2 linked regions of the Saccharomyces cerevisiae S288C genome follow. The protein of the gene in region 1 purifies or fractionates together with the protein of each later gene. This does not show direct contact. Each region holds a gene or a part of one and is shown on either strand. Other genes may lie near its edges.

Region 1 (13,647 bases):
TAATCGTTTACTATACGGTGGAGTACTAATACTATTTCACTGTCGTGCTCGCGGTTGATCTTAGATAAATATATTTCTTTTTCATAAAGAAAGTGAGTGGATCTTCCCTGGAAGTACGAATAATGTACTTATGATTAGATTCTCTTCACGCACATACCTTTTTTTTTTTTTCAATTGCTAGTTCATACATACGTAGAAAGAAGGGCCAATTGGAAGCCTCAACTGTCCCCTGGTGTAAGCTTTCGCTGTTTCATCTTCAACTCAAGAAGCGAAGGTAGCGGACAGCAGGGTGACCGTGAATCTTTTCCATTGTCATTGTAAAATTTTGAGCAGCAGATGTACAGCTGATCTATAACTTTAGCGCATTTAGCATCATCGTACTGATGTGATAGAAGGCAATCTAAAATTAATGTGAAAAAACGTTAGTGAAAAGAAAAAAACGATCGAATCTTTTGAAGTTAATATTACAAACCTTGGATGGCGCAGGCCTCCTTCTGGCATGGATTAGACATATTTACCTCTTATTTGAACAAATCTCAACAACTAAAAAAACGCTCAATATCTTGGAAAAAAAGAACAGTAATATTCTGTCTCTCCACACCCTCTTCTGAACTCTCATATACACCCCATGGGTGAAAAGTAATATCCGTAAAAGTCTCGCTAACGGATGACGTTAACAACGCACGCCCGCTCCTTGCGAAATTTATTGTGGGGACGTCGTTCACGTGCAAAAGTCGCCAAATATTAGCGACGGGCAACATCGGAAAAACTCTGCGCCCGCGATTCCGATTGAGATGTGTAATTTGTAGTATTGAACGTGACAGGAAACAAAAAATATCAAAACGCTAGCAAGGTTTAAGGGGAGGGGTGAAGAACGAACGATAGGATACTGCACAAATCAGCAATTAAGAAACAATATACAAAAACCCCCAAAGTGGTCATGTTAAGGAGGGCATTTTTCCGCATGGAAACGAAACGTGGGCATGACGTGGAAGCGATGATCCGAGCGCTTCTGCTACTGTGGTGACCACCGTACCAAAGGAGGGGTAATAAGACCCTGTGCCCTTTGCCAGCATACGTGTTACCCCCCTCAAAAAGAGCTGGCTGTTCGAGCTAGCTGCTCTTTCTGTTGCCATTCCCGTACCAAGAGCGCCCCGTAGCTCGATTTTCAGCACCTTGGTGGATATCAGGGGAATTTTACCGCCGCAAGCGATCAGCGTAGAGTGCGCACAGAAAACAGACAGAAATGACTGAAGCGGATGAAAAAAAATTTTCTGGCGCGGCCCAATCTCCGCGGAAGAGTCATTCCGTGAAATGAAAACAAAAGACGCGCATAGTAGGAGAAAGATTATGCAGCTTGATAGCGGGTTATCATACCAGCGTTAATGACACCTTCAAGTGGGTAAAGTACCCTTTGTTATCGTTTTCTTGGCTACGCGGATAGACTAATTTAATTGATATATATGTAGCTAGACACGTTCATAATTTTTATGCTCTAGTGCATGTGCCTCTTACTCATTATTGTCAAAAATTTTTGCATGTAATATTTGTTTTCCGTAGTCATTCAGCACTAGCCTGTTTGTTAATATATATAGATAGACAAACTAATGACAAGGAGAATTGAATTTCTCATATAACACATACAATAAAACCAAGAAATGTCTTCAAACTATGCCACTCCTTTAGACGATGAGGTGTTTCCCTTATCTTTTGCCAATTATCAATTTACCGAGCATGTGTCACTTGGTGAGCATTATTCACTCAATACTTCGGAAGATGCCAAATATAATAATTTGAATGGTCCTTTCGTGGTACCGAGAGACACCGGGAAGTTCGATTTGAACACAAGTTCTGCCTCGGACGAGACTGTGTTCTCGTTAGATAACCCTCAAGAAAACAACTACAAACACCAAGCCATGAATAACGTCCAGGATTGTCGCATGGCCGTCGCGGCCAAAACTACCCAGTCGTGTGATAAATTGACCGATCTTTATGCCAATGCCGCCCAACAAAACTACAGATTGTGGCTGTCTTCATTTTAGAATAACGATTAAGGAATGATAATCAAAAGAAAAAAACAATCTACCTACATATATATGCACTCAACATACATAAATACACACGCATTATTGTTTCTATAAACTTCCAACAGACAATATTCCCATACAAACATCAACTAACTGATTTCCTCTTCATACGCGTTCGCTTCACGTGATGTTCCTTTTCCATTGAAAGGAGAGCTCATCACAAGAGTTACAATGGGAGTGGCGGCGCACCGTCTGCTGACAAGAATAAGTGTAAGACCAGCTACCGGAAGAAAAAAGAAAATAAAATGGATACTCTGTGTCTCCGAATGCCCCTATTTGTTGTATCCATTGATTGTTATCCTGTCTTCTTCTTTCTTTAGTTTAAATCTTTAGCGATTCAGATCCAATTGAACAAAAAAAAGGCTAGATCAAAAATAAGGGGTAAAACATCATCTTGCGGGGCTAACCCAGATCAAAAGCGGCAAGCCAAGAAAACCTGTTTGATAACACTGTAATATATATATATATATATACTATACGATCGTACCTTGGTATCCACCGCTTTCTCAGCACCTCCAAATTTCTAAAGTGCAACTAAAGAGTCTTGTCAAGTATTCTTTTACTAGTGTTAAGACCTTGTATTGGTAAGAGATAGCAAGTCTAAACAGCAACAATGAACAAGCTAAGAGACAAATTTGTAGATTCTACAGTAGAAGAAGAAAGATTGCGTGAAAATCGAAATCATGAGAAATACTGGTATCGTTGGGGTCCCTACTTGAGTGAAAGAAGCTGGGCGACAGTCCGTGAAGATTATTCTTTAAACGGTGATGCTTGGAGCAATTTTCCTTTCGAACATGCCAATGCAAGAGTATTCCGTTGGGGTGAAGATGGATTATTTGGTGTCTCAGATAACAAACAATTGGTGTGTATGAATGTCGCTCTGTGGAACGGTAAAGATGAAAGATTGAAGGAAAGGTTGTTCGGGTTGACTGGGCCACAAGGGAACCATGGTGAGGATGTTAAGGAATTGTACTTTTACCTGGACAATACTCCCACTCATTCATATATGAAAGCTTTATACAAGTATCCCTTTAAAAAGGCCTTTCCATACAAAGAATTGGTGCAAAAGAATGGTGAAAGGGGATACGAGGATAAAGAATTCGAAGTTTACGATATAGATGGGCTATACCGTGATAGTGAAACCGGTGACAACCCTTATTTCGATGTTTTTTTTGAAATGGCAAAGGATGACGAAAACCCTAGTGAACTGAACTTTCGGCTAACTATACATAATCGAAGTAAAATCGACTCTGGTGAGCTCTACATAGCTCCCCAACTTTTCTTCAGAAATACTTGGGCTTTTGACGGTACTAGAACAAAGGACAAGCCCTTGCTTGAAAGAGATGCAGAAGCAGCGAACTTAATCAATATGACTCACAAGAAATATGGTAATTGCCAAATGGTCTTTCAGCCATCTCCAGGTGGGTTCTCTTCCGGTACAAACGAGGAAGAGGAAGATAAAGAGGTAGAAGATATAGATCCTCTGCTGCTATTTACCGATAATGAGTCCAATTTAGTAAAACTATTTAACGAAGAAAAGAATCCTTCCGAGTACACAAAGGATGCTTTTGAAGAATATCTTGTTCAAGGCAAAACCGATGCTGTAAATCCTGAAAATAAAGGAACAAAGGCCTGCGCAGTATATCACTTCAAAAATATTCCGCCCGGAGAGTATGTTACTGTGAGATACAAATTTACAAATGACCCAAAAAACTCTATCTTTAAGGCACAAAACCTGGCTGTCGTAGATGAAGATGAGTTTGATTTGATTTTCGATAACAGAGAGGAGGAAGCTGATAACTTCTACTGGAGGATTACACCTTTGCCAATCAGTGATGAATTAAGAAACCTTCAAAGACAAGCTTTTTCTGGTTTGCTATGGACTAAACAGTTCTACAATTTTACATATGATGCTTGGTATAATGGTGACGCCAATGTTAAGCCTCGCCCTCCCCCTAATAGAGCTAATGGCAGGAACAAGAACTGGAAGCACCTTTACATCGAAGATATCTTATCAATGCCCGACAAATGGGAGTATCCATTTTTTGCTTCATGGGATACTGCGTTTCACTGCATTCCTTTAGCTATGATTGATCCAGAATTTGCAAAACGGCAATTGGATTTATTAACCAGAGAGTGGTACATGCATCCTAACGGTCAAATTCCGGCATACGAATGGAACTTCAATGACGTAAATCCACCAGTCCATGCATGGGCTGTGTATCGTGTTTTCAAGATCGAAAGAAACATGTACAACCGTGAAGATCGTACATTTTTAGAACGAGTTTTCCAGAAGCTTTTGTTAAATTTTACATGGTGGGTCAACAGAAAGGATACTGAAGGTAAAAATGTTTTTGAGGGCGGATTTTTGGGTCTTGATAATATTGGCGTTTTCAACAGATCAGAACCACTACCCACTGGCGGTACGCTTGAACAGGCTGATTCTACAGGTTGGATGGCCTTTTTCAGCCTTCAAATGCTAAATATTGCATTAGAGCTCGCCAAAGAAAACCCGGTTTATGAAGATATTGCCTCTAAATTTTTTGAACATTTTATCTTAATCAGTGACTCTATGTCCTTTGAATACGCTACTGATATTACGGGAGAGAAATGTAAAGAAGTTATCAAACAAAACCTATGGAATGAAGCAGACAAATTTTATTACGATGCCATCTCTTGGGGTGACCACAAGGTGCAACTACCAATAAGATCTCTCGTGGGATTGATCCCACTATATGCTTCTATGACTTTAGAGCCTAGTATCATAAAACAATTCCGCGGTTTCAAGAAGAGGGTTGATTGGTTTGTGAACAACCGTCCAGAAATCTTTGATAGAAACATTGCGTCCATGTCAAAAAAAGGAGTGGGAGAAAGACTACTTTTATCCCTAGTTACTAAGGAAAGATTAACAGCCATACTGTCACGTTTGCTGGATGAAACTGAGTTTTTGTCACCATATGGTATTAGATCTCTTTCCAAATATCATGAGAAGCACCCATTCGAAATGAATGTAAATGGTGTCGAATATATGGTCAAATATTTGCCGGGCGAATCAGACTCGGGTATGTTCGGCGGTAATTCTAACTGGAGAGGGCCCATTTGGTTTCCTACCAGCTTTTTAATAATGGAAGCATTACAAAGGTTTTACCTGTACTACGGTTCCGACTTCAAAGTAGAGTGTCCCGTAGGTTCAGGAGATTATTTGAATCTTGCTGAAGTTGCCGAAGAACTTGGATATCGTATGATTCACTTATTTGTTCCAGACGAAAACGGGGAGCGCGCCATTCATTATGGTGATCACTCTAAGTTTCTGTCTTCTGATCCATATTTCAGGGATTATGTGCCATTTTTTGAATACTTTGACGGTGATACTGGAAGAGGGCTTGGCGCTTCACACCAATGTGGTTGGACTGCTCTTGTGGCCAAATGGATAAGTGATGTAGGTATATCCTGTGTAAGACTACCTCGTACGCCAAGATCATCTGTGGCAACGACCGCTTCAACAGAGAGCTCTGAGCAAGGTCCCAAAATGAAGAGAATGGCAAGACGTAAGAGTGCAAAGTCTTTGGTAAACTACACTGCCACCATTTTGGACTTAACCGAAGAAGAAAAGCGCCATCATAGGATAGGGGGCACCCATTCTGGGTTGACACCACAAAGCAGCATTTCAAGTGACAAGGCTAGACATTTGATGGAGGAAATGAATGAAGAGGAAGGTATTCACGAAACTGTGGTACCTGAAGATCGTCACAACTTTGAAACCAAGCTTATAGGCAAGCTAAAAGATAAGGTGAAAAATATGAAAGTAACTGACAAGGCTAAAGATGAGGATATAGACCCAATGGACCCAATGAGTCCGTTGAATAAGGATGTGTCTTGATTAACTGCGGTGAACCTTCAATATCTGTACGTTTGAAAAATATTTCCAACGATATACCTCTATATTTTGATCTATAGAATATTTAATTGCAGTAGTTTTTTATCAGTAAGGTAGCGTTGATATTACTAGTGAAGGTAACTCTATAGTTCCTTGACATGTTCTTTAGATTCTAGAGGTTTTTTATTGAATTTGTTTTCCCACCTTATTTAAACTTTGAGAACAAAACTAGCAAAATCAATAATATAAGGACTGCGATAATGGCATAGCTTATGAATTTATTAGCAACTAGCCTTCTAGTCATTGTTTTTAGTGTCTTTATACTTTTATCCACATATGAATCCGCTTGAAACAAGGTCTGTCTTGCATTTTCCAAAGTTTCTCTCTGTGACCTTAAATCCATCATTATTTGTGACCCTATTCCTTCAGTTTCATTTGCTATTCTACTGGCATCTTTTAGTCTATCTCCCGATTTCTGTAAGATTGCATGGTTGCTCAACAACTGTTGCCTTTGGTCATCGTCAATATTAGATGCGTTAAGATCTCCAAAAAGTCTATCACGATCGCCTGAGTCTACTAAGGATTGCAGTGGTCGTTTGATATCGCTCTGTATAGTCTTCTTCCATTCTCTTAACTTCGCCTTGTACGTAGCACGTTCTGAGGCATCGCCTATGCTGTTATTAACTTCTACATCCATCTGATCTAGCAGGTCAAACAACTCATCTTGTTGCTGTTCTACGTGCTTCAGTGTAGTATTTCTCTGTGATAACGGTTGTGAGGGGGCCTCTGCTAAGCTCGCTTTGGCTTGTTCTAAGGTTGTTTTGAAGTCAGATTCGTATGATATTAATAGGGAACTCATAGTAAGCCATGCAGCAATGTAAAGAGTGCGGTTGATTCGTTTTATACAACTTAATGTAAAGCTTTACACTTTTCCAAGAATAGTAATTGCCCTATATAGCACGACTACTCCACTCCTAACTTTCATTGAAAATTAGACAGTCATGTGATCAGTAATATCGTCCATAGTGATATTTGTTTGTTTACCATTTTTGTTCTTATTTACTCTCTAATATGATTCTAGTATATGAAAGATACCACTGTCGTAGCTCGTATCAAAATAAAACTAGTCAGTCGTTGACCATTGAGCATATCGTCCGAGAATAAGGCTTTACTGTATTATTTTTTGATATCCACACGTTATTGAGCTCATTCACTGATCGACACATTTAGGCGGCTTTTCCGTTTGGCTGAAGCAACTTTGAAACACAACTACGACATTATAATTAAGCGCCTAAATAAGTGAATTTTGTGCCATAGGGTTGGACCGTGTATATATAAGAGCTATTCACTATTTTAATATTTGTTTTGGCATTTGAAACTCGTTGACATAAGCTTTATTATTAGGATGAATAACTCCAAAATTCCTAAACTTTCCTTTCATAGTGATCCAAACAACGTCACTCGAGACTTTCCAAAGACAAAACGACAGAAGGTTCAGAAAAGAGAAATGGATATGATACTAACTCCTAATAACAACAAGCTAAATATATTGCACAGCTCTGGATCTGGTATACGGCGCTGCTACACTGATGACACCTCCGCTACGTATACTAAGAAACTAACCTTTGGGGGGGACCCCAAGATTATTGAAAGGGTTAAGAACAATGAACGTAAGGTTAGAAAAGACATAGATTCACTACTGAATGCTATTTCTGAAATTGAAAAGGAATCTGTTCGTATTCATGCCAGGGAACTACCTGCAATAACATTAGAATTAGATGCAAAAGTCAAAGCGTGCAGGGAGCTACAAAATGAGATTGATGGACTATCAACGGAGATGGACTTGAAGGATAATCAATGTGATCTTCAAAGAAAGAATGTTGAGCTATCATCAAAAAATATAGTGTCTATGCATGCAGTAAAAGTACAAGAGTTCGAAAACGATTTAGAGGAAGAGCTATCGAATGCCAAAAGGGAGTGGACGTATAAATTAATGGAAGTAGAAAATTTGAAACCTGACGAAAGGTTAACTGACGAAATGCGACAGCTTAAAACAGAATTCGAGGAGGTCAATAGGAAACTATTCATTCTACAGAATGAAAATGAGAACGAGTGTAAAAACTACAAAAAAGAATTGGACAAGAAATTCGAGATATTCAAGAAAGTTAAGAACGATGCTAGAATTGAATTAGATGGGGAGCAAGAAAGACTTTCGAAAGTTTTAAAAGACCTACAAGACACCCATGGTGAACTGAAAGAAAATATTAAGACGTGTAGAGATGAGTTTAACGATTTTGAAAAAAGGATTGGAGAGGCAGAAGTGAACTTCCATAGCATGGAACTTGCCGTTGTTCCTCTCAAAAAGAAGCTTGCTTCTACATCACAAGCATTGACGCAAGTGCAGGAGGAGAAGAAGCAAGTCGAAGGAGAAGCAAACAATTGGAAGAAGAAGTACGTTAATGAACTAGAAAAGGTTCAACAGGAATTATACACACGACAAAATCTGGCCACTTCAATTGAAGAAATCAAAGGATACACCCGATGCTTTGCGTATGCCAATGAACGACAAATGCCTGATGAATTCCATATCAACTATGTGGATCGGTGCATTTGCGAGAATAGTGGAGAAAAACGGGTACAAGTATTTGATAGAGTAGTTCTCGAAGAAATCCATAAGGATCACAAACGCTTATATAACGAATGCATTCCGTTCCTGGAAAAATACATCAGCAAGTTAATTAACTGCAGCATTATAGTGGTTTCGCAGCAACCCACAGCACCAATGAAAAAGACTTTGCTAAAACAGTTAATTGAGCAGTACGGTGAGAATTATAAGATGACATTGAACATTTTGCATCTTGACGGAAGTATTAAACACAGTGACGTTGGATTAGATAACCCAACAGAAATTAGAGATCTGTCACAAGATGAAGAATGCATGAACATTTTAACTTTAGATACCAAGTTGGGAAAAGATGAAGAGTCCCATTCAATGAATATATATATCGGTAGTATGTCCACGGTACAGCTGAATAGAGAGCTTGATGATGCTCCCTCAGTCCTTTCGCATATTCTCACTAAAACAAAGCAGTGCTTTGTCTTCAAGATTAACGCTGGTGAAAACATCGAGAAGGCTCTAGCCTTAGCGGGAAAGCTGAAAAGAACAATAACATTACCTCAGCTAGATTAAGAAGGCCAGATCTTGTGCGCTACAATCACTTCGTCTCGTTCCCTTACATAAAAAACTTACGTAGCTACATTGTCGTGCGTGGCATCAACCTAATTATCCTAGCAAAATAAAAGAGAATGTTACGGGACTAACAGGCGGATGTAAATTACTCACTTAAACGCAGCCAAACATCATCGAGAACTTAGGGTAGCGTGCCACAAAATTTGCATGAATAAACTTTTGTTTTCCTAATTCGACAGCATTCCCTTGTTCGCAACACTTCACTGATAGGAAATCGAATAGCGCACACTCTCTTCTGGGACATACCCCAATGCGGTAAAGCCACGAAAACACCGCGCGTAAAGGGGTAAACAAGTCCATTCCTACAACCTCTTGGAGAAATTCTTTACCTACTACAACCCCGCGCCTGATACTTTCAGTATTCATGACAACTCGAGCCAGATCCCGCTCGTGGGCGTGTTCATTCTGTGACGATCCACTAGCGACTTCTTTGTTCAGCCTGCAAGAGACGCGTTCAAGGAAGAATTCGCGATTTTACTTCTTCGAGGGAATCTCGCACCGCGTTAGTTAGTTTCCAACCTTGAAAGCATCGGAGACGCATTTTTGGCGATTTTGCTGGATTGAGCTGAATGGTGCCAGGTCGAGGCTGGGAGGGAGACTAACTCGAAAGTGACGAAGACTCGAAAATTAAAAAAAAAGATACTGCAGAAGGCAAGATTGAGAATGGAGTAAAGGCAGCGTGGGTCCCCTGTGGAAACCGCAGTTTTCCTGCGCCAAGTGGTACCGGTGCGAGTGCAGCAATTAATCTCTCGATATTTTCTTAGTATCTCTTTTTATATAAGAATATATTTTGGAATTGGTAATGCTTATCTTCAATAGTTTCTTAGTTGAATGCACACTTAAGAGCAAATTGGCCAAGGAGTTCTTCGTTCGCTTTAATTTATTTCCTGGTTATTGTCAATTTATTCATCCCATCTCCCCAGGATAGAAGAAATTAGTGTAATTTTGCTGACAATACATTTTAACGACGATAACAATAATAGCAATTAAATAAAATAGCACTACCACCACTCCACTGCTCGTTAGCTATTTCTGTAAAATAAATAAAAAGATCATGAACCACTCAGAAGTGAAAACTGGGTTAATTGTCACTGCAAAGCAGACATATTACCCAATTGAATTGTCCAATGCAGAACTACTAACTCATTACGAAACCATACAGGAATATCACGAGGAAATCTCTCAAAATGTGCTGGTCCAATCTTCCAAGACAAAACCAGACATAAAATTGATCGATCAGCAACCGGAGATGAATCCTCATCAAACTAGAGAAGCCATAGTAACATTTTTGTATCAACTTTCAGTGATGACTAGAGTAAGTAATGGTATCTTCTTCCACGCTGTCAGGTTCTACGATCGCTATTGCTCTAAGAGAGTAGTGTTAAAGGACCAAGCTAAACTAGTTGTAGGCACCTGCCTTTGGTTAGCGGCCAAAACTTGGGGAGGGTGCAACCATATTATAAACAACGTCTCCATCCCCACAGGTGGTAGGTTTTATGGTCCCAATCCTAGAGCTCGTATTCCACGCCTTTCTGAATTGGTTCATTATTGCGGCGGGTCCGATTTATTCGATGAATCAATGTTCATTCAAATGGAAAGACATATCTTGGATACTCTGAACTGGGACGTTTATGAGCCCATGATTAATGACTACATTTTAAACGTTGACGAAAATTGTTTGATACAATATGAACTTTACAAAAACCAGTTACAAAATAACAATAGCAACGGCAAAGAATGGTCCTGTAAGAGAAAGTCACAATCTTCTGACGACAGTGATGCCACAGTGGAAGAACATATCAGTAGTTCACCGCAAAGTACTGGACTAGATGGCGATACAACTACCATGGATGAAGATGAAGAACTAAATTCCAAAATTAAATTGATAAATTTGAAAAGATTCTTAATTGATCTGAGCTGTTGGCAATACAACTTGCTTAAATTCGAATTATACGAAATATGCAATGGTATGTTTTCTATAATAAACAAATTCACTAATCAAGATCAAGGCCCTTTTCTCTCTATGCCCATTGGTAATGATATAAACTCAAACACTCAAACGCAGGTATTCAGCATTATCATCAATGGCATAGTCAATTCTCCCCCATCTTTAGTCGAAGTTTATAAGGAGCAATATGGTATAGTACCTTTCATATTACAAGTAAAAGATTATAACTTGGAATTACAAAAGAAACTGCAACTGGCCTCTACAATAGACCTAACCAGAAAAATTGCTGTCAATTCTCGTTACTTTGACCAAAATGCCTCTTCATCATCAGTTTCTTCTCCAAGCACATATTCTTCGGGAACCAATTATACTCCAATGCGAAACTTCAGTGCACAATCAGACAACAGTGTTTTCAGTACTACCAACATTGACCATTCATCGCCGATCACCCCTCACATGTACACTTTTAATCAGTTTAAAAACGAAAGTGCTTGTGACAGTGCCATAAGCGTAAGCAGTCTACCTAATCAAACCCAAAATGGTAACATGCCATTATCAAGCAATTATCAGAATATGATGCTAGAAGAAAGGAATAAAGAGAATAGAATTCCCAACTCATCATCCGCTGAAATACCACAACGTGCCAAATTTATGACGACTGGTATATTCCAGAACACAGGAGAACTTACTAATAGAGCGTCTTCGATATCGCTATCGTTAAGGAACCACAATAGCTCTCAACTGTGACCATTTTCTCATCAAGCCTACATATATACTTAATTAATAACGGAATACTACGCTTTTCCATCGTAAGTAATAATGACATTCATACTTGACATTTTAATACCAGATAATTTTAATGCCCACCTACAAACATCTAGCCTCAATATTCTTCACCTGAAACCAGCTGAATAGTAATATACCAATATTCTTTCAACGATTGATATAATTATCATCATGAACGGAAAAGATGACGCGATTTTCCAGTATTTTTTTCTTCCTTTCGTTCTAACGTTTGCGGTAAGCAAAGGAGAGTAGTAATTAGCAAACAGTTATAAATAGAAAGCCTCTCTAAGATTATAGATATATAGTCATACTAAAGCTTGAGATCTCATCTTTTTCGAGAACCTACCGGCATATTAAACTGAAGTAAGACATCATTCTGAGGAAAGGATCGGTATTATAACCATTATTATTTGTTGCACTTTATTACTATGTGGTCGAAAAAGTTTACATTAAAAAAGCTAATCTTAGGCGGGTATTTGTTTGCTCAAAAGGTCTATTGTGAAGACGAAAGTAACTCTATATACGGTACCTGGTCATCTAAATCAAATCAAGTGTTCACGGGACCGGGGTTTTATGATCCCGTAGATGAACTATTGATAGAACCTTCATTGCCCGGGCTTAGCTATTCGTTCACTGAAGATGGTTGGTACGAAGAAGCTACTTACCAGGTAAGTGGCAATCCTCGTAACCCAACTTGCCCCATGGCTTCGTTGATTTATCAGCATGGTACATATAACATTTCAGAAAACGGTACGTTAGTTCTGAATCCTATTGAAGTTGACGGTAGACAACTATTCAGCGACCCATGCAATGATGACGGAGTTTCGACTTATTCTAGATATAACCAAACAGAAACTTTCAAGGAATATGCCGTAGGTATAGATCCTTACCATGGTATTTACACCCTGCAATTGTACCAATATGATGGTACTCCAATGCAACCACTATATTTGGCTTATAGACCACCAATGATGCTTCCAACAGAAACTTTGAACCCAACATCGTCAGCGACCAGCACTGACGACCCATCCTCTAATAAGAAAAGATCACTGAGAAGTTTAGTGAGGAGGAGCCTGGAAAACAGACACAAGACGAATGCCATTAAAAGACAAAATACCTCATTTTTAACCTCCAATGCCATTTGGTATATTTCTGCGGGTATGCTAGGTGTAGGTTCATTATTATTTTTAGCATTTTAGGCGCACTACAGGGATACTTATTCAACCAATGGGGGAAAGAGGCCCCATGTGGCCTTCAAATAAATATTAAAAACTATAAACATATAAGGCAAAACAACTTTATCAGGCGAGAAAGAGAAGCAAGAATAGGTGTAATTTTATGCACCCAAGGAATTGATTGTAATCATATTATTAAATAAGGTGGATGAATAAAAGATTTTCAAACCAGTTTTTCCGAGATAGTTAATTATGTACGAGTGACAAATGGGATATCAATCAATGAACACAATCAAAACACCTTATTATGACTTTCTTGTTATATTCTTATATACATAACCAACATTTAAATGTCAATTTCTTCAGTTTCTAGCCCGCAGTCTGTACATCTTCTTCTTTGAATTTGATAACCGTCTTCATCAATACCTCCATCAACTGGATCACTAAAATGATGAATATGGGCTTTCCCATGCTTCTTTTCTCTTAATCTATTAGTATATTCTTGAGCTCTTGTTTTCAGTCGC
Region 2 (17,655 bases), on another chromosome or scaffold:
CAGTTGTTTTTATATTCGATGAAATTGATACATTTGCTGGGCCTGTGAGGCAAACTTTATTATACAATCTTTTTGACATGGTAGAACATTCTCGGGTACCTGTTTGCATTTTTGGCTGCACAACGAAATTAAATATCTTGGAATATTTAGAAAAGAGGGTAAAGAGTAGATTTTCTCAAAGAGTGATTTATATGCCGCAAATACAGAATCTAGACGATATGGTTGACGCCGTCAGAAATTTACTTACAGTTCGCTCTGAAATCTCCCCCTGGGTTTCACAATGGAATGAAACGTTGGAAAAAGAACTATCCGACCCTCGATCGAATTTGAATAGACATATTAGGATGAATTTCGAAACCTTTAGGTCATTACCTACATTGAAAAATAGCATAATTCCATTAGTAGCGACATCCAAAAATTTTGGTTCACTCTGCACTGCCATAAAATCGTGTTCTTTTCTTGACATATACAATAAGAACCAACTATCTAATAATTTAACAGGAAGGCTCCAATCTTTATCCGATTTAGAGTTAGCCATTTTGATCTCAGCCGCTAGGGTTGCCTTAAGGGCGAAAGACGGATCTTTTAATTTTAATTTAGCTTATGCAGAGTATGAAAAGATGATTAAAGCTATCAACTCCAGAATTCCCACCGTGGCTCCTACTACAAATGTGGGAACAGGTCAAAGTACTTTTTCTATCGACAATACTATCAAACTATGGTTGAAAAAGGACGTCAAGAACGTTTGGGAAAATTTAGTGCAACTGGATTTTTTTACCGAGAAATCAGCCGTTGGTTTGAGAGATAATGCGACCGCAGCATTTTACGCTAGCAATTATCAATTTCAGGGCACCATGATCCCGTTTGACTTGAGAAGTTACCAGATGCAGATCATTCTTCAGGAATTAAGAAGAATTATCCCCAAATCTAATATGTACTACTCCTGGACACAACTGTGAATCTTGGGAACAATATACAGACATTTTATTGGCGGTAGCAACTCTGATATTCCACTGTTCAGCTTTCCTAATAAGTAAGTTCAAGATTATGTGGTCATCGCGTCGAACGGAAATACACCCATACACCAAACCTCTGTGAATTTGAAAAATTCACATATGCATTTAATAGAGCATAGGCAATGTAGAGAGAGAAATTAACAATGGTGAAAAGAAATATTACCAAACACCAGCAAAAGAAATTGTATAGTATTAGCAGTACATTCGTGGTCAAGCAGAATAACAGTAAAATAATATGAGTGATAATGGTTCCCCCGCGGTTCTTCCAAAAACCGAATTTAATAAATACAAAATCGGCAAAGTGAAGAGTACACCAGCCATCCAGCGAGATGCGAAGACTAACTTAACATACATCAAACTAAGAAAAAGAAGTAGTGAGAAAGTTTACGGGTGTACAGTTTTCCAGAATCATTATCGTGAGGATGAAAAATTAGGACAAGGAACATTTGGTGAGGTTTATAAGGGAATTCATTTAGAGACTCAAAGACAAGTGGCAATGAAAAAAATTATAGTTAGCGTTGAAAAAGATCTGTTTCCTATAACTGCACAACGAGAAATTACTATTTTAAAGCGTTTAAACCACAAAAATATTATTAAACTAATCGAAATGGTGTATGACCATTCACCGGATATTACAAATGCGGCATCCAGCAACCTACATAAGTCATTCTACATGATCCTGCCGTATATGGTAGCAGATCTGTCGGGCGTTTTGCATAATCCGAGAATCAACTTAGAGATGTGCGATATAAAGAATATGATGCTACAAATATTAGAAGGCCTAAATTATATTCATTGTGCAAAATTCATGCATAGGGATATAAAGACAGCAAATATTTTGATTGACCACAACGGTGTTTTAAAGCTTGCTGATTTTGGTTTAGCAAGATTATATTATGGCTGTCCTCCAAACTTAAAGTATCCTGGTGGTGCAGGTTCCGGCGCCAAATATACATCAGTAGTCGTAACGAGATGGTATAGAGCACCTGAGTTGGTGCTTGGTGATAAACAGTATACAACAGCTGTTGATATATGGGGTGTCGGATGCGTTTTCGCAGAATTTTTTGAGAAAAAACCTATTTTACAGGGAAAAACGGATATTGATCAGGGACATGTTATTTTCAAACTACTTGGTACACCGACAGAAGAAGATTGGGCCGTGGCTAGATATTTGCCAGGTGCTGAACTAACAACAACTAATTACAAGCCAACGTTGAGGGAAAGATTTGGTAAATATCTAAGTGAAACAGGTCTAGATTTTTTAGGACAGTTGTTAGCGTTAGATCCTTACAAGAGGTTGACCGCTATGTCTGCTAAACACCATCCTTGGTTTAAAGAGGACCCTTTACCATCAGAGAAGATAACATTACCGACGGAAGAAAGTCATGAAGCTGATATTAAGAGGTACAAGGAAGAAATGCACCAATCATTGTCCCAAAGAGTACCTACTGCGCCAAGAGGTCATATAGTTGAAAAGGGTGAATCACCTGTCGTGAAAAATCTTGGGGCGATCCCAAGAGGCCCCAAGAAAGATGACGCAAGTTTTTTGCCTCCATCAAAGAACGTATTGGCTAAGCCGCCTCCTTCGAAAATAAGAGAACTACATCAAAATCCTAGACCGTATCATGTGAACAGCGGATATGCTAAAACTGCGATTCCACCGCCAGCAGCCCCTGCAGGAGTTAATAGATACGGACCCAACAATAGTTCCAGAAATAATCGCTTCAGCGGCAACAGCACTGCACCCAACAACAGCAGGAATCCCGTAAATCGATTTCATCCTGAGACAAATGTCAGCTCTAAATATAATAAAGTACCTTTGCCATTGGGGCCTCAGTCAAGATACCAGGGTAATTCAAATGAGTCCCGGTACAAAAACTCGCCAAATGACTCTAGATATCATAACCCTAGGTACGTGAACAAGCCGGAAACCAACTTCAATAGGCAACCACAGAAATATAGTCGCCAAGAATCCAATGCGCCAATCAATAAAAATTATAATCCTTCAAACGGTTCTCGCAATATGGCTGGTGATCATCATCAAGGCTCGAGACCTTCTCATCCACAATTCCCAATCTCGCCCTCACAGGGGCAGCATCAGCTTACGAGTAAACCAATAGAGAAAAAAAATGGAAGCTTTAAGGATGAAAGAGCGAAACCAGATGAGTCTAAGGAGTTCCAAAATAGTGATATTGCAGATCTATATTAGGTTATACTATTCTCTCTTCCTTTCTGGCCTCGTGGCTAATTACGGAAAGTTGTATACTGACTACTATGTAATCTATCACGTTTTGTCACTGTCTCGCTCTTTTCAAACAATCCATAAAATCGAAACTATTGTCAAAACGTCAGTACATCCTACCTGATAGGGACTGTACCAATGTCAACGTTCGAGTAAGTGATAATAAGGACCGCCTTACCCACCTTCAGGACACTCGGTTTTACACAAGCGTTATCCTGCGCGGATTTTCAATATGAAAACAACTAAGTTTTCCTGTAACATCATATATACCATTTAAAAGAGTGCCAAAAAACCGATAACGATTATTTTAAAGGCGTTTTATATAAGAGAAGAAGTAAAGAGAAAAAAGCGCTTACTAGAAATGGGGAGAAGGGTGCCAAAGAGATAAAAAAAACTCCCAGCTAAGTCACTGGTTCAACGTTCCAAATGGTATCGGAGTATTCCTCGATACAACGATCACTGCTAAAGAAGCCGACGTTTGCAACGCTCAGGACACTCTTTTTTAACCATTCTGACCTTTGATTGTGGAACTCCTGGTCCACTAATTCATGGGTGGCCAGATAGGATTCAAAGTCATCACTGACCAGGTAATAATCGCCGTGGTACTTAATACTGTCGACTAAAGGTTTGAATTCATTTGGATTTTCTGGAGAAAATTGTCCACTTTCAATGTAGGATAAAACAGAATCCAAACTAGATGGTAAATCTTGTGGATGGTATTGATGGTTGTATCTCAATTCTTCGACATTTTCACTTAGGTTACCAAACAAGAAGACATTATCTTCACCAATTTCCCTTGTGATTTCCACATTGGCACCATCAACAGTACCAATAATCAAACCACCGTTCATAACAAACTTCATATTAGAAGTACCAGACGCTTCAGTACCAGCAGTAGAAATATGCTCACTCAAGTCACTTGCTGGAATAATGATTTCAGCCTTAGAAACATTATAATCAGCAACAAAGACAACCTTCAACAAATGCTCAATTGACTCGTCGTTATTAACAATGTCAGCAACACAGTTGATCAATTTTATGATCAGCTTAGCCATGTAGTAACCAGGAGCACTCTTACCACCAAAGATTGAAACCTTGCGTGGATATTTCTTGGCAACTTCTTCGATCGAAGCACCGTTCTTCAGCATATTCTTCATTGCCAGGTAACGGTATATAATACCAAAGACGTTTAGCTGTTGACGCTTATATTCATGAATACGTTTAACTTGCATATCAAACAAGGTGTCGTCCAAATACTCTCTGTTAATGATGTCTACTCCATCATTTTCCTTTTTGATTAAATCTACTAATCTGATCTTATTATTAAGCTTGACTTGGTTCCATTTTTTCAAAAACTCCTTATCTTCAACATATTTTCCCAACTGGGTCAGTTTGGCCATGTCCAACAAATACTCCTCTGTTGGATCGTTAAGGGTTTCACTGATCAGTTTAGCCAATGAAGGGTTAGCTTGCTTCAACCATCTCCTTGGTGTGATACCGTTAGTGACATTGACAAACTTTGATGGACCATAGAACTTGACAAAATCTTTAAATATGGTCGTTTTGATTAATTCAGAGTGCAATTCAGCAACACCATTAACCTTGTGTGAACCAACAATAGCCAAAAAGGCCATTCTGATCTGTCTTTCTGGAGAGTTTTCTTCGATGATGGATATACGAGACAAAAGATCAACATCCTTGGGGAATTTTTTGGCCACATCTTGCAAGAAGAACCAGTTGATATCATATATAATTTCCAAATGTCTGGGTAGCAAATGGCCAAAGAGGCCGACGGGCCATTTTTCCAGGGCCTCTTGCATAACAGTGTGGTTAGTATAAGCAAAAGTCTTGGTCACGATGTCCCAAGCCTCGTGCCAATCTAGTTTTTCTAGATCGACCAAAACTCTCTGTAATTCAACGATGGCTAAAGTTGGATGAGTATCATTCAACTGAATAGCCACTTGGTCAGGAAATTCAGTCCATGGCCTCTTGGATTTTTTGAATCTTCTTAAGATGTCGTGTAAGGATGCAGCACACCAGAAGTACTGCTGTTTCAACCTCAACTCCTTACCTTGAGCAAAGTTATCGTTTGGATACAACACAGCGGTTATAGACTCTGCGCGTTGTTGCTGAGCCACAGAGTTTTTATAGTCACCATTATTGAATTTTGCAAAATCAAATTCTGTTGTTGGCCTTGCTTGCCATAGTCTTAAGTTATTTACATTGGAAGTCTTGAAACCCGGAACTGGGAAATCATACGCGACAGCAAGAACTCTTTCCCCACCGATCCATTGTGACGCACTCAGTGTAGTTTTACCGCCTTCTGGTCTATCAACATAACCATAAAAGGTGACAGGAATTTGCACTTCGTTACGTTCAATTTCCCATGGATTACCAGAATTTAACCAGTAATCTGGAGTTTCCACCTGGTAACCGTCAATAATCTTTTGAGCAAAGATACCATACTCATAACGTAGACCATAACCCCAGGCAGGGATGCCTTCCGTTGCCATTGAGTCGACGAAGCAAGCTGCAAGACGACCTAGACCACCATTACCTAAACCTGCGTCCGGTTCTTGGTCCAAGACATCCTCTAACTTGAAACCTAAATCATCCAAAGCCCCTTTAATCATTTCTCTTGGTTTTCCCTTTGAGGCAGCAGGGTCTTCCGGATCTTCAATCTTCATATTAATCAGGGCATTATCCAAAGCCCTACCCATCAAAAACTCCAAAGACAAATAGTAAACTCTCTTTGGGTCTCTTGTGGTGAATTTCTGCTGAGTTTTGTTCCAGTCAATGACCAAATTGTCACGAATACTCATCGAAGCAGCTTCATAAGCAGCCATGTCATCACAATTATATAGGGAACGTGCTAATGTAGTTTCCACATGGTCAATGAATCTATCTTGAAAATCTTCTGCCTTGTTAAATTTTTTGACTTGATGCTTATTCCATAACGCTCTTGACTTTAAAGGAATCATCGTGTCAATTGACTTGATTTCTTGGGGAAGAAACCCCGTAAGTCTCCTTGTAAGCCTTGGGATTTGGTGTGGAGAAGTAGGTTCTTCGGTTATCATATCATTGGTAGTACTAGTACTAGCTGGCGGCATTGTTCAAAATTAAATTAAGTTGAAAGCTGCTTTACTGAAATTGTAATGTAGAGAAGTCAAAAAAGATCCAATTGTTTTTCTTTTGGATATTTTTAGTAATCGTTACCTTCTCAATCTGTGCTTACTTTATATTACAATAGCAAGCAGAAAAAACTTATAATACTTCGTACGTAATCAAAACAAAAGGTACAACAAGAAACGGGAAGGCACAAAGAATCTTGCTTTACTGCTATACAAACTTCATGCTCCTTTTATACATATAATATATTCGTCGGTGTTCCTTCCTTATCTTTGTAGCATGCACATGGTAGTTATTAACCTCCCCTGAAACTTTTTTAGCGAAAATTATCCACCCCTTACTTATTTCCTCGAGAGTCTCTAAAAAGTAAAAATACAATAACGGTAATTGGGGAAGGCGTTCCTTGTTAATTCAAAATGTTATCCTTGAAACATAGAAGGTGCTGGCTGCATCTCGCAGAGCTTCCTCTTCCGTTGAGCGTTGTATTCTTCCCCCCACAGTGCTACTAGGCGATGCCGCTACCCCTTGAAGGGCCTTCCCGCTGTGGGGCAGCGGCCTTTTTTCCTTAGTGGGAAACAAGCACCGGGGTATATTTCATTGTCTATCAGGAGAAGAGATCGTATACAAATGTTCGTGAGACGGTTTCATCTTGACTAGTTGCCTTGCTAGTCGGATAACTAGTGGAAAGCAGTAGGACACTCCCGATGAGTTTGCGTTTCCACGGGGTTTGACAGAGCTACCTATTGTCTTTTTCATCGAAGGAAACGGTAGTTGGACCTTGCCTTGGATAAGTTGGTGAATCATCCAGAGCTTTAGAAGGGAGCAAAAAATAAAATCTGCGCAAGCCCGGAATCGAACCGGGGGCCCAACGATGGCAACGTTGGATTTTACCACTAAACCACTTGCGCTTGTTATTTACATGAGTGTGGTACTTCTATTGATGGTAGGTGTTCCATTACTTTTTTCGTCTTAAGATGAGCGAGCAAACACAGGGAGAAAATAAAGCGCAATTATTTACCTCATAGGGTACACAATATCCGTGAGAAAAGGATGAATTTGAAATAATTATACAGACTCCTTTTTTTTCAACGTAAAATTATAAGCATAGATTAGAGGCGCTCCTGGATAATAATAGGAACACACACAAGTAAATCAGCAATTTCTCATATCGTACTTATTCGGTAGAGTTAATAATATTCTACTAAAATAACTACTGGTAAGTAGTGAGAGCTTGATTTTTGTACTAATAACTTGTTTCAAAAAAAAAAACGAATAATCAGTTTTACAAAAATGTGTATACCTATATAAACAATCTTAGAGGTAAAGTTCTCCCTCACTAAAAATAATAAAAAATTACGTGCAGATGAGAACCCCGTCTTACCTTAGTATACCTTTAGTTCCCTTTATGACCCGATTTGAACGATAAGTCTTTTATATTTTATTTCTTCCTAAAAGAAAAATGTATGCATTGTAAGTAACTTTTTATGACCATGGTAATAATTAAAGCCGAGGGCTTGTAGATTTACCATCAAAATACCCGCTTAAGAGGATAACTTGAACTTCGAGCTAGTACATTTACCAGTTAGGATATTCTTAGGGAACGTGTAACCAGCATCTTCCCAAGTAGTTAAGTTTGCATTCTGGAATGCATTTAAGTGCGATTGAATATAATCATATGTTGGATAGTCACTTGGATCGCATGTCACGGATATAGCATTACTTGGTTGGTATATTCTAACATAGTCAATCGACATAACCACTGGGAAGAAAATATACTGCCAATCAATATAAGCCCAATTGTTGGAAATACCCAGATTTAGAATAATCGACATTGGTTCTTTACTGATTCTTCTCCAACCAATATTACCATCAGGATGTAAGGCTTTAGCATGAATAGTATAAGTTGGAGTATCACCAACAAACCAACGGATATAACCATTGTCGTCATCGTTCAGATACTCAATGGCATATTTTTGAAAGTAGCCACCGTACTCACCGAATTCATACCAAGTTACGTTCAAAGTTGAGACAGCAGATACGGCTTGTTGAAATGGACCGCCAGCATAAGTGTTCATGGTCGTTGTTGTGAAATTGTAAACCTCGATAAAATCATAGTCAGGCATGTACCAGATATCAAAAGGTGCAATTTGCAAGGATTGAGAGGCTATACCTACACCAATCTTAGTATCAGTTTCACCTTCCAAAACATCAATTTCTGGAGCTCCTCTACCAACACCTTGATTCGGATGATCTTCACCATCACAAGTACAAATACTTAACTTTTGTCCCGGCAAGTAAGAAATACCATCCGGGGAACTTTGGTTGGGTGTAATACCAGCATCACACGATTCATAAGAATAAGGCCAGACACCTTGGGTACTAGCCAAATAACCGGGCCTCCCTAAATTACCCATAGTCCAAAGACCGGGCCACAAACCTGAAACACGGCCATAATTTGGTAGATTTGCAGAGATTTCTAGAGCACCCTGCGTGAAACAAACCTTATTCCAACTCTGCAACATACCTGATCTGTAATATAAGCCATGGTTCTTAAAGGCATCCATTCTCAGCTGCAAGGTTCCGTTCACAGTTGTGGAAGCGTCTGGACTGTACCATTCTAAATCCTTAGTAGCATCATAGTGAACATCAGGGGCTGTCCAGTATGGATCATCCCCATCATAAAATGTTCTGCCTTCTGCATTAAACTCATCAGAAAATACTAATTCCCACTTAGAGCCATCCATAGCTTCTCTTGTCTTCGCTGTATCAGGTGTGTCTGGGTCAACCAGAGATGTTCTAATGGCGGATAGTTGAGGATATTGGTATTGAGTTAAATATGTAACTTCTTCAGTGTTGCTTTCGTGATCAATAGCACCGGTAAAGGTCAACGCTGGCAAAACAATAAAAATAAAGATGGCTGCCAGAAACAAGAGCAATACACCAGCTAGCCCACTAGCAGACCTTTTATCCATGTACTTGAAGTCATCTATGAACCTCCTTCTATCCAGTCTTGCCTCTTCTTCGGGGTCAGGATTGTGTAAATAATCATCTTCTTCCTTTTCATCTATCATAAGTGGGAACGATGAAGCAGGATACCCACCAAATGGAGAAAAATCTTGCTCGCCCAAAAACGGATTAGAAGAGAATGAGGCGGACGACTCGTTTCCTGGAGATGATGTTGGCGAGCGACCATGATGGTTCAGTTGAGTCATAGAAGTGACTCTGGAACCCACTAAGGGATATCTATCAAATTCTGGCGGTGAGAGAATATCATTCTTCGATAAATTAGAATTCAAAGAAGGAGAAGAGGCTATAGCTCTATGTGGTGGCTGAAGAAATGAGTTATCATTAGCCGTACTCACAGCTCTACTATTGTTCCTGGAATAGTAACCTTTGTAATCAGATACACCTTTATTTTGACTTAGATCTAGACGAGAATTGTCATGAAGTAGTGAAGAGTCACTCCCCTGTGGCTGATAATGAACAGAAGAAGACAGAGATTCTCCATCCCGCGCATTAGATTCTTCGTCACTCCCCATAAAAGGGTTTGTGAGACCAGCATTATCGTTGGTGCTATTGTCATTTTGTTGTCCAAAAGAAGGAGATGAGGAAAGAGGAGCACCATCATGATCGTCGCCTGTACCATCTGTGTCCAGGTTTGTGCTACTAAAGTTGTGCGTTTCAGTTAGATTTCTCAAAGGCATTAGAGTAAAGGAGTGAGTGGTATACCTATTCTGTAAACTTTAGATGATTTAACGAGAGAAATGTTGTGCAACTACTAACTTGCCTTAGTAGAAAAATTCTAACAACAATATATTTATAGACGATAAAGTAATGAACACTAGTACGAGAGGACGAATACAATAACAATATGCAGCTTTCTCGAGCACTTGCAGCAATACGAAAGCTTTGGACTGAAAATAAAAAAAGAAGAAAACGTTAGTGATTCTTAAGTGCTTCTGTAAGCTAAAAATATTTTAACGGTTGTTGTTTTCGACGTTCCTAGTTAAATTTTATCAGAAGCTGTTTTATTCTGTGTTTTCACCAAAAATAGCGTTAACTTTCATCTGATCAGGAATATGAAAAAAAAAAAAAAACTGTCCAAATAGAGCGTATGTGATCTGAAGTCTAGAATTTACCGCTTCAGGATGATTCTTTGGCGTTTTGCGGGTAAAACGCCTTTCAGATCGCGTCACACTTGCAGGCTGAGAGGAAAAAGAAAAGAGGGGAATGAAAATCACTAAGCCACAAAAACAATAAAGATAATTTTATACGAAATATACATTTTGTATTCCATAATCAAAAATTAAAATGGACGAGTCCGGAATCGAACCGGAGACCTCTCCCATGCTAAGGGAGCGCGCTACCGACTACGCCACACGCCCGAATCTTGTTGTAAATTGTTGTATTACGGGCTCGAGTAATACCGGAGTGTCTTGACAATCCTAATATAAACAGTCTTAGGGAAGTAACCAGTTGTCAAAACAGTTTATCAGATTAATTCACGGAATGTTACTTATCTTATATATTATATAAAATATGAATCATACTAAGTGGTGGAAGCGCGGAATCTCGGATCTAAACTAATTGTTCAGGCATTTATACTTTTGGGTAGTTCAGCTAGGGAAGGACGGGTTTTGTCTCATGTTGTTCGTTTTGTTATAAGGTTGTTTCATATGTGTTTTATGAACGTTCAGGATGACGTATTGTCATACTGACATATCTCATTTTGTGTTGGAATAAAAATCCACTATCGTCTATCAACTAATAGTTATATTATCAATATATTATCATATACGGTGTTAAGATGATGACATAAGTTATGAGAAGCTGTCATCGATGTTAGAGGAAGCTGAAACGCAAGGATTGATAATGTAATAGGATCAATGAATATAAACATATAAAACGGAATGAGGAATAATCGTAATATTAGTATGTAGAAATATAGATTCCATTTTGAGGATTCCTATATCCTCGAGGAGAACTTCTAGTATATTCTGTATACCTAATATTATAGCCTTTATCAACAATGGAATCCCAACAATTATCTAATTATTCACCCATTTCTCATGGTAGCGCCTGTGCTTCGGTTACTTCTAAGGAAGTCCACACAAATCAAGATCCGTTAGACGTTTCAGCTTCCAAAACAGAAGAATGTGAGAAGGCTTCTACTAAGGCTAACTCTCAACAGACAACAACACCTGCTTCATCAGCTGTTCCAGAGAACCCCCATCATGCCTCTCCTCAACCTGCTTCAGTACCACCTCCACAGAATGGGCCGTACCCACAGCAGTGCATGATGACCCAAAACCAAGCCAATCCATCTGGTTGGTCATTTTACGGACACCCATCTATGATTCCGTATACACCTTATCAAATGTCGCCTATGTACTTTCCACCTGGGCCACAATCACAGTTTCCGCAGTATCCATCATCAGTTGGAACGCCTCTGAGCACTCCATCACCTGAGTCAGGTAATACATTTACTGATTCATCCTCAGCAGACTCTGATATGACATCCACTAAAAAATATGTCAGACCACCACCAATGTTAACCTCACCTAATGACTTTCCAAATTGGGTTAAAACATACATCAAATTTTTACAAAACTCGAATCTCGGTGGTATTATTCCGACAGTAAACGGAAAACCCGTACGTCAGATCACTGATGATGAACTCACCTTCTTGTATAACACTTTTCAAATATTTGCTCCCTCTCAATTCCTACCTACCTGGGTCAAAGACATCCTATCCGTTGATTATACGGATATCATGAAAATTCTTTCCAAAAGTATTGAAAAAATGCAATCTGATACCCAAGAGGCAAACGACATTGTGACCCTGGCAAATTTGCAATATAATGGCAGTACACCTGCAGATGCATTTGAAACAAAAGTCACAAACATTATCGACAGACTGAACAATAATGGCATTCATATCAATAACAAGGTCGCATGCCAATTAATTATGAGAGGTCTATCTGGCGAATATAAATTTTTACGCTACACACGTCATCGACATCTAAATATGACAGTCGCTGAACTGTTCTTAGATATCCATGCTATTTATGAAGAACAACAGGGATCGAGAAACAGCAAACCTAATTACAGGAGAAATCTGAGTGATGAGAAGAATGATTCTCGCAGCTATACGAATACAACCAAACCCAAAGTTATAGCTCGGAATCCTCAAAAAACAAATAATTCGAAATCGAAAACAGCCAGGGCTCACAATGTATCCACATCTAATAACTCTCCCAGCACGGACAACGATTCCATCAGTAAATCAACTACTGAACCGATTCAATTGAACAATAAGCACGACCTTCACCTTAGGCCAGGAACTTACTGAATCTACGGTAAATCACACTAATCATTCTGATGATGAACTCCCTGGACACCTCCTTCTCGATTCAGGAGCATCACGAACCCTTATAAGATCTGCTCATCACATACACTCAGCATCATCTAATCCTGACATAAACGTAGTTGATGCTCAAAAAAGAAATATACCAATTAACGCTATTGGTGACCTACAATTTCACTTCCAGGACAACACCAAAACATCAATAAAGGTATTGCACACTCCTAACATAGCCTATGACTTACTCAGTTTGAATGAATTGGCTGCAGTAGATATCACAGCATGCTTTACCAAAAACGTCTTAGAACGATCTGACGGCACTGTACTTGCACCTATCGTACAATATGGAGACTTTTACTGGGTATCTAAAAGGTACTTGCTTCCATCAAATATCTCCGTACCCACCATCAATAATGTCCATACAAGTGAAAGTACACGCAAATATCCTTATCCTTTCATTCATCGAATGCTTGCGCATGCCAATGCACAGACAATTCGATACTCACTTAAAAATAACACCATCACGTATTTTAACGAATCAGATGTCGACTGGTCTAGTGCTATTGACTATCAATGTCCTGATTGTTTAATCGGCAAAAGCACCAAACACAGACATATCAAAGGTTCACGACTAAAATACCAAAATTCATACGAACCCTTTCAATACCTACATACTGACATATTTGGTCCAGTTCACAACCTACCAAAAAGTGCACCATCCTATTTCATCTCATTTACTGATGAGACAACAAAATTCCGTTGGGTTTATCCATTGCACGACCGTCGCGAGGACTCTATCCTCGATGTATTTACCACGATACTAGCTTTCATTAAAAACCAATTTCAGGCCAGTGTCTTGGTTATACAAATGGACCGTGGTTCTGAGTATACTAACAGAACTCTCCATAAATTCCTTGAAAAAAATGGTATAACTCCATGCTATACAACCACAGCGGATTCCCGAGCACATGGAGTCGCTGAACGGCTCAACCGTACCTTATTAGATGACTGCCGTACTCAACTGCAATGTAGTGGTTTACCGAACCATTTATGGTTCTCTGCAATCGAATTTTCTACTATTGTGAGAAATTCACTAGCTTCACCTAAAAGCAAAAAATCTGCAAGCCAACATGCTGGCTTGGCAGGACTTGATATCAGTACTTTGTTACCTTTCGGTCAACCTGTTATCGTCAATGATCACAACCCTAACTCCAAAATACATCCTCGTGGCATCCCAGGTTACGCTCTACATCCGTCTCGAAACTCTTATGGATATATCATCTATCTTCCATCCTTAAAGAAGACAGTAGATACAACTAACTATGTTATTCTTCAGGGCAAGGAATCCAGATTAGATCAATTCAATTACGACGCACTCACTTTCGATGAAGACTTAAACCGTTTAACTGCTTCATATCATTCGTTCATTGCGTCAAATGAGATCCAAGAATCCAATGATCTTAACATAGAATCTGACCATGACTTCCAATCTGACATTGAACTACATCCTGAGCAACCGAGAAATGTCCTTTCAAAAGCTGTGAGTCCAACCGATTCCACACCTCCGTCAACTCATACTGAAGATTCAAAACCTATATCTGAAATCAATCTTCGTGCACCCAGAGAAGTTGACCCCAACATATCTGAATCTAATATTCTTCCATCAAAGAAGAGATCTAGCACCCCCCAAATTTCCAATATCGAGAGTACCGGTTCGGGTGGTATGCATAAATTAAATGTTCCTTTACTTGCTCCCATGTCCCAATCTAACACACATGAGTCGTCGCACGCCAGTAAATCTAAAGATTTCAGACACTCAGACTCGTACAGTAACAATGAGACTAATCATACAAACGTACCAATATCCAGTACGGGTGGTACCAACAACAAAACTGTTCCGCAGATAAGCGACCAGGAGACTGAGAAAAGGATTATACACCGTTCACCTTCAATCGATGCTTCTCCACCGGAAAATAATTCATCGCACAATATTGTTCCTATCAAAACGCCAACTACTGTTTCTGAACAGAATACCGAGGAATCTATTATCGCTGATCTCCCACTTCCCGATCCGCCTCCAGAACCTCCTACCGAATTATCAGACTCCTTTAAAGAACTTCCACCGATCAATTCTCGTCAAACTAATTCCAGTTTGGGTGGTATTGGTGACTCTAATGCCTATACTACTATCAACAGTAAGAAAAGATCATTAGAAGATAATGAAACTGAAATTAAGGTATCACGAGACACATGGAATACTAAGAATATGCGTAGTTTAGAACCTCCGAGATCGAAGAAACGAATTCACCTGATTGCAGCTGTAAAAGCAGTAAAATCAATCAAACCAATACGAACAACCTTACGATACGATGAGGCAATCACCTATAATAAAGATATTAAAGAAAAAGAAAAATATATCGAAGCATACCACAAAGAAGTCAACCAACTGTTGAAGATGAAAACTTGGGACACTGACAGATATTATGACAGAAAAGAAATAGACCCCAAAAGAGTAATAAATTCAATGTTTATCTTCAACAAGAAACGTGACGGAACTCATAAAGCTAGATTTGTTGCAAGAGGTGACATTCAGCATCCTGATACGTACGATACAGGTATGCAATCCAACACTGTACATCATTATGCGTTGATGACATCCCTGTCACTTGCATTAGACAATAACTACTATATTACACAATTAGACATATCTTCGGCATATTTGTATGCAGACATCAAAGAAGAATTATACATAAGACCTCCACCACATTTAGGAATGAATGATAAGTTGATACGTTTGAAGAAATCACATTATGGATTGAAACAAAGTGGAGCGAACTGGTACGAAACTATCAAATCATACCTGATAAAACAGTGTGGTATGGAAGAAGTTCGTGGATGGTCATGCGTATTTAAGAATAGTCAAGTAACAATTTGCTTATTCGTTGATGATATGATATTGTTCAGCAAAGACTTAAATGCAAATAAGAAAATCATAACAACACTCAAGAAACAATACGATACAAAGATAATAAATCTGGGTGAAAGTGATAACGAAATTCAGTACGACATACTTGGCTTAGAAATCAAATATCAAAGAGGTAAATACATGAAATTAGGTATGGAAAACTCATTAACTGAGAAAATACCCAAATTAAACGTACCTTTGAATCCAAAAGGAAGAAAACTTAGCGCTCCAGGTCAACCAGGTCTTTATATAGACCAGGATGAACTAGAAATAGATGAAGATGAATACAAAGAGAAGGTACATGAAATGCAAAAGTTGATTGGTCTAGCTTCATATGTTGGATATAAATTTAGATTTGACTTACTATACTACATCAACACACTTGCTCAACATATACTATTCCCCTCTAGGCAAGTTTTAGACATGACATATGAGTTGATACAATTCATGTGGGACACTAGAGATAAACAACTGATATGGCACAAAAACAAACCTACCGAGCCAGATAATAAACTAGTCGCAATAAGTGATGCTTCGTATGGTAACCAACCATATTACAAGTCACAAATTGGCAACATATATTTACTTAATGGAAAGGTAATTGGAGGAAAGTCCACCAAGGCTTCATTAACATGTACTTCAACTACGGAAGCAGAAATACACGCGATAAGTGAATCTGTCCCATTATTAAATAACCTCAGTCACCTTGTGCAAGAACTTAACAAGAAACCAATTACTAAAGGATTACTAACCGACAGTAAATCTACAATCAGTATAATTATATCCAATAATGAAGAGAAATTTAGAAACAGATTTTTTGGTACTAAAGCAATGAGACTAAGAGATGAAGTATCAGGAAATCATCTGCACGTATGCTATATCGAAACCAAAAAGAATATTGCAGACGTAATGACCAAACCTCTTCCGATAAAAACATTCAAACTATTAACAAACAAATGGATTCATTAGATCTATTACATTATGGGTGGTATGTTGGAATAAAAATCCACTATCGTCTATCAACTAATAGTTATATTATCAATATATTATCATATACGGTGTTAAGATGATGACATAAGTTATGAGAAGCTGTCATCGATGTTAGAGGAAGCTGAAACGCAAGGATTGATAATGTAATAGGATCAATGAATATAAACATATAAAACGGAATGAGGAATAATCGTAATATTAGTATGTAGAAATATAGATTCCATTTTGAGGATTCCTATATCCTCGAGGAGAACTTCTAGTATATTCTGTATACCTAATATTATAGCCTTTATCAACAATGGAATCCCAACAATTATCTCAACATTCACCCATTTCTCATTTTGAGATACAACAGAAATAATCCATTGTGTACCGTATTTAGTACTTGTATATCAACGCGACATGTATCAAATTGCACGTGACAACTGCGAGAGTTGATTGAAGTTCAAGATAATTGTTGGAATAAGAATCAACCATCACATATCGATTAGTATTCGTACTATTTGCATGTTATCGTATACGGTGCAAAAATATGGCATAAAGATTGAGAAACAGTGAGCACATTTAATGAAAGCTGAAATGCAAGGATTGATAAGTAATAGGATAATGAACTTCTAGTAAAATTTCTGAGATATATGTGGGTAATTAGATAATTGTTGGGATTCCATTGTTGATAAAGGCTATAATATTAGGTATACAGAATATACTAGAAGTTCTCCTCGAGGATATAGGAATCCTCAAAATGGAATCTATATTTCTACATACTAATATTACGATTATTCCTCATTCCGTTTTATATGTTTATATTCATTGATCCTATTACATTATCAATCCTTGCGTTTCAGCTTCCTCTAACATCGATGACAGCTTCTCATAACTTATGTCATCATCTTAACACCGTATATGATAATATATTGATAATATAACTATTAGTTGATAGACGATAGTG

Evidence for each region.
Region 2: the proteins of ROT1 (region 1) and KRE6 purify together in Saccharomyces cerevisiae (affinity purification with western blotting; 2 studies listed by BioGRID, with this or other methods). This does not show direct contact.

Annotation. Positions count from the first base shown.
Region 1 is NC_001145.3:652,376-666,022, forward strand, and holds ROT1 (Rot1p), read left to right. Parts: upstream 1-12,376; coding exon 12,377-13,147; downstream 13,148-13,647. Other genes in the region: CMC4 (Cmc4p), read right to left, coding at 219-400, 473-512; ICY1 (Icy1p), read left to right, coding at 1,659-2,042; YMR196W (uncharacterized protein), read left to right, coding at 2,701-5,967; v-SNARE protein VTI1, read right to left, coding at 6,170-6,823; CIK1 (Cik1p), read left to right, coding at 7,370-9,154; cyclin CLN1, read left to right, coding at 10,269-11,909; DNA repair protein RAD14, read right to left, coding at 13,470-13,647. UniProt on the Saccharomyces cerevisiae protein: Required for normal levels of the cell wall 1,6-beta-glucan. Involved in a protein folding machinery chaperoning proteins acting in various physiological processes including cell wall synthesis and lysis of autophagic bodies.
Region 2 is NC_001148.4:850,019-867,673, reverse strand, and holds KRE6 (beta-glucan synthesis-associated protein KRE6), read right to left. Parts: upstream 10,092-17,655; coding exon 7,929-10,091; downstream 1-7,928. Other genes in the region: ORC4 (origin recognition complex subunit 4), read left to right, coding at 1-959; cyclin-dependent serine/threonine protein kinase SGV1, read left to right, coding at 1,252-3,225; GPH1 (glycogen phosphorylase), read right to left, coding at 3,660-6,368; YPR159C-A (uncharacterized protein), read left to right, coding at 7,259-7,360; YPR158C-C (gag protein), read left to right, coding at 11,417-12,739. UniProt on the Saccharomyces cerevisiae protein: Involved in the synthesis of (1->6)- and (1->3)-beta-D-glucan polymers of the yeast cell wall in vivo. It is required for full activity of beta-glucan synthase in vitro.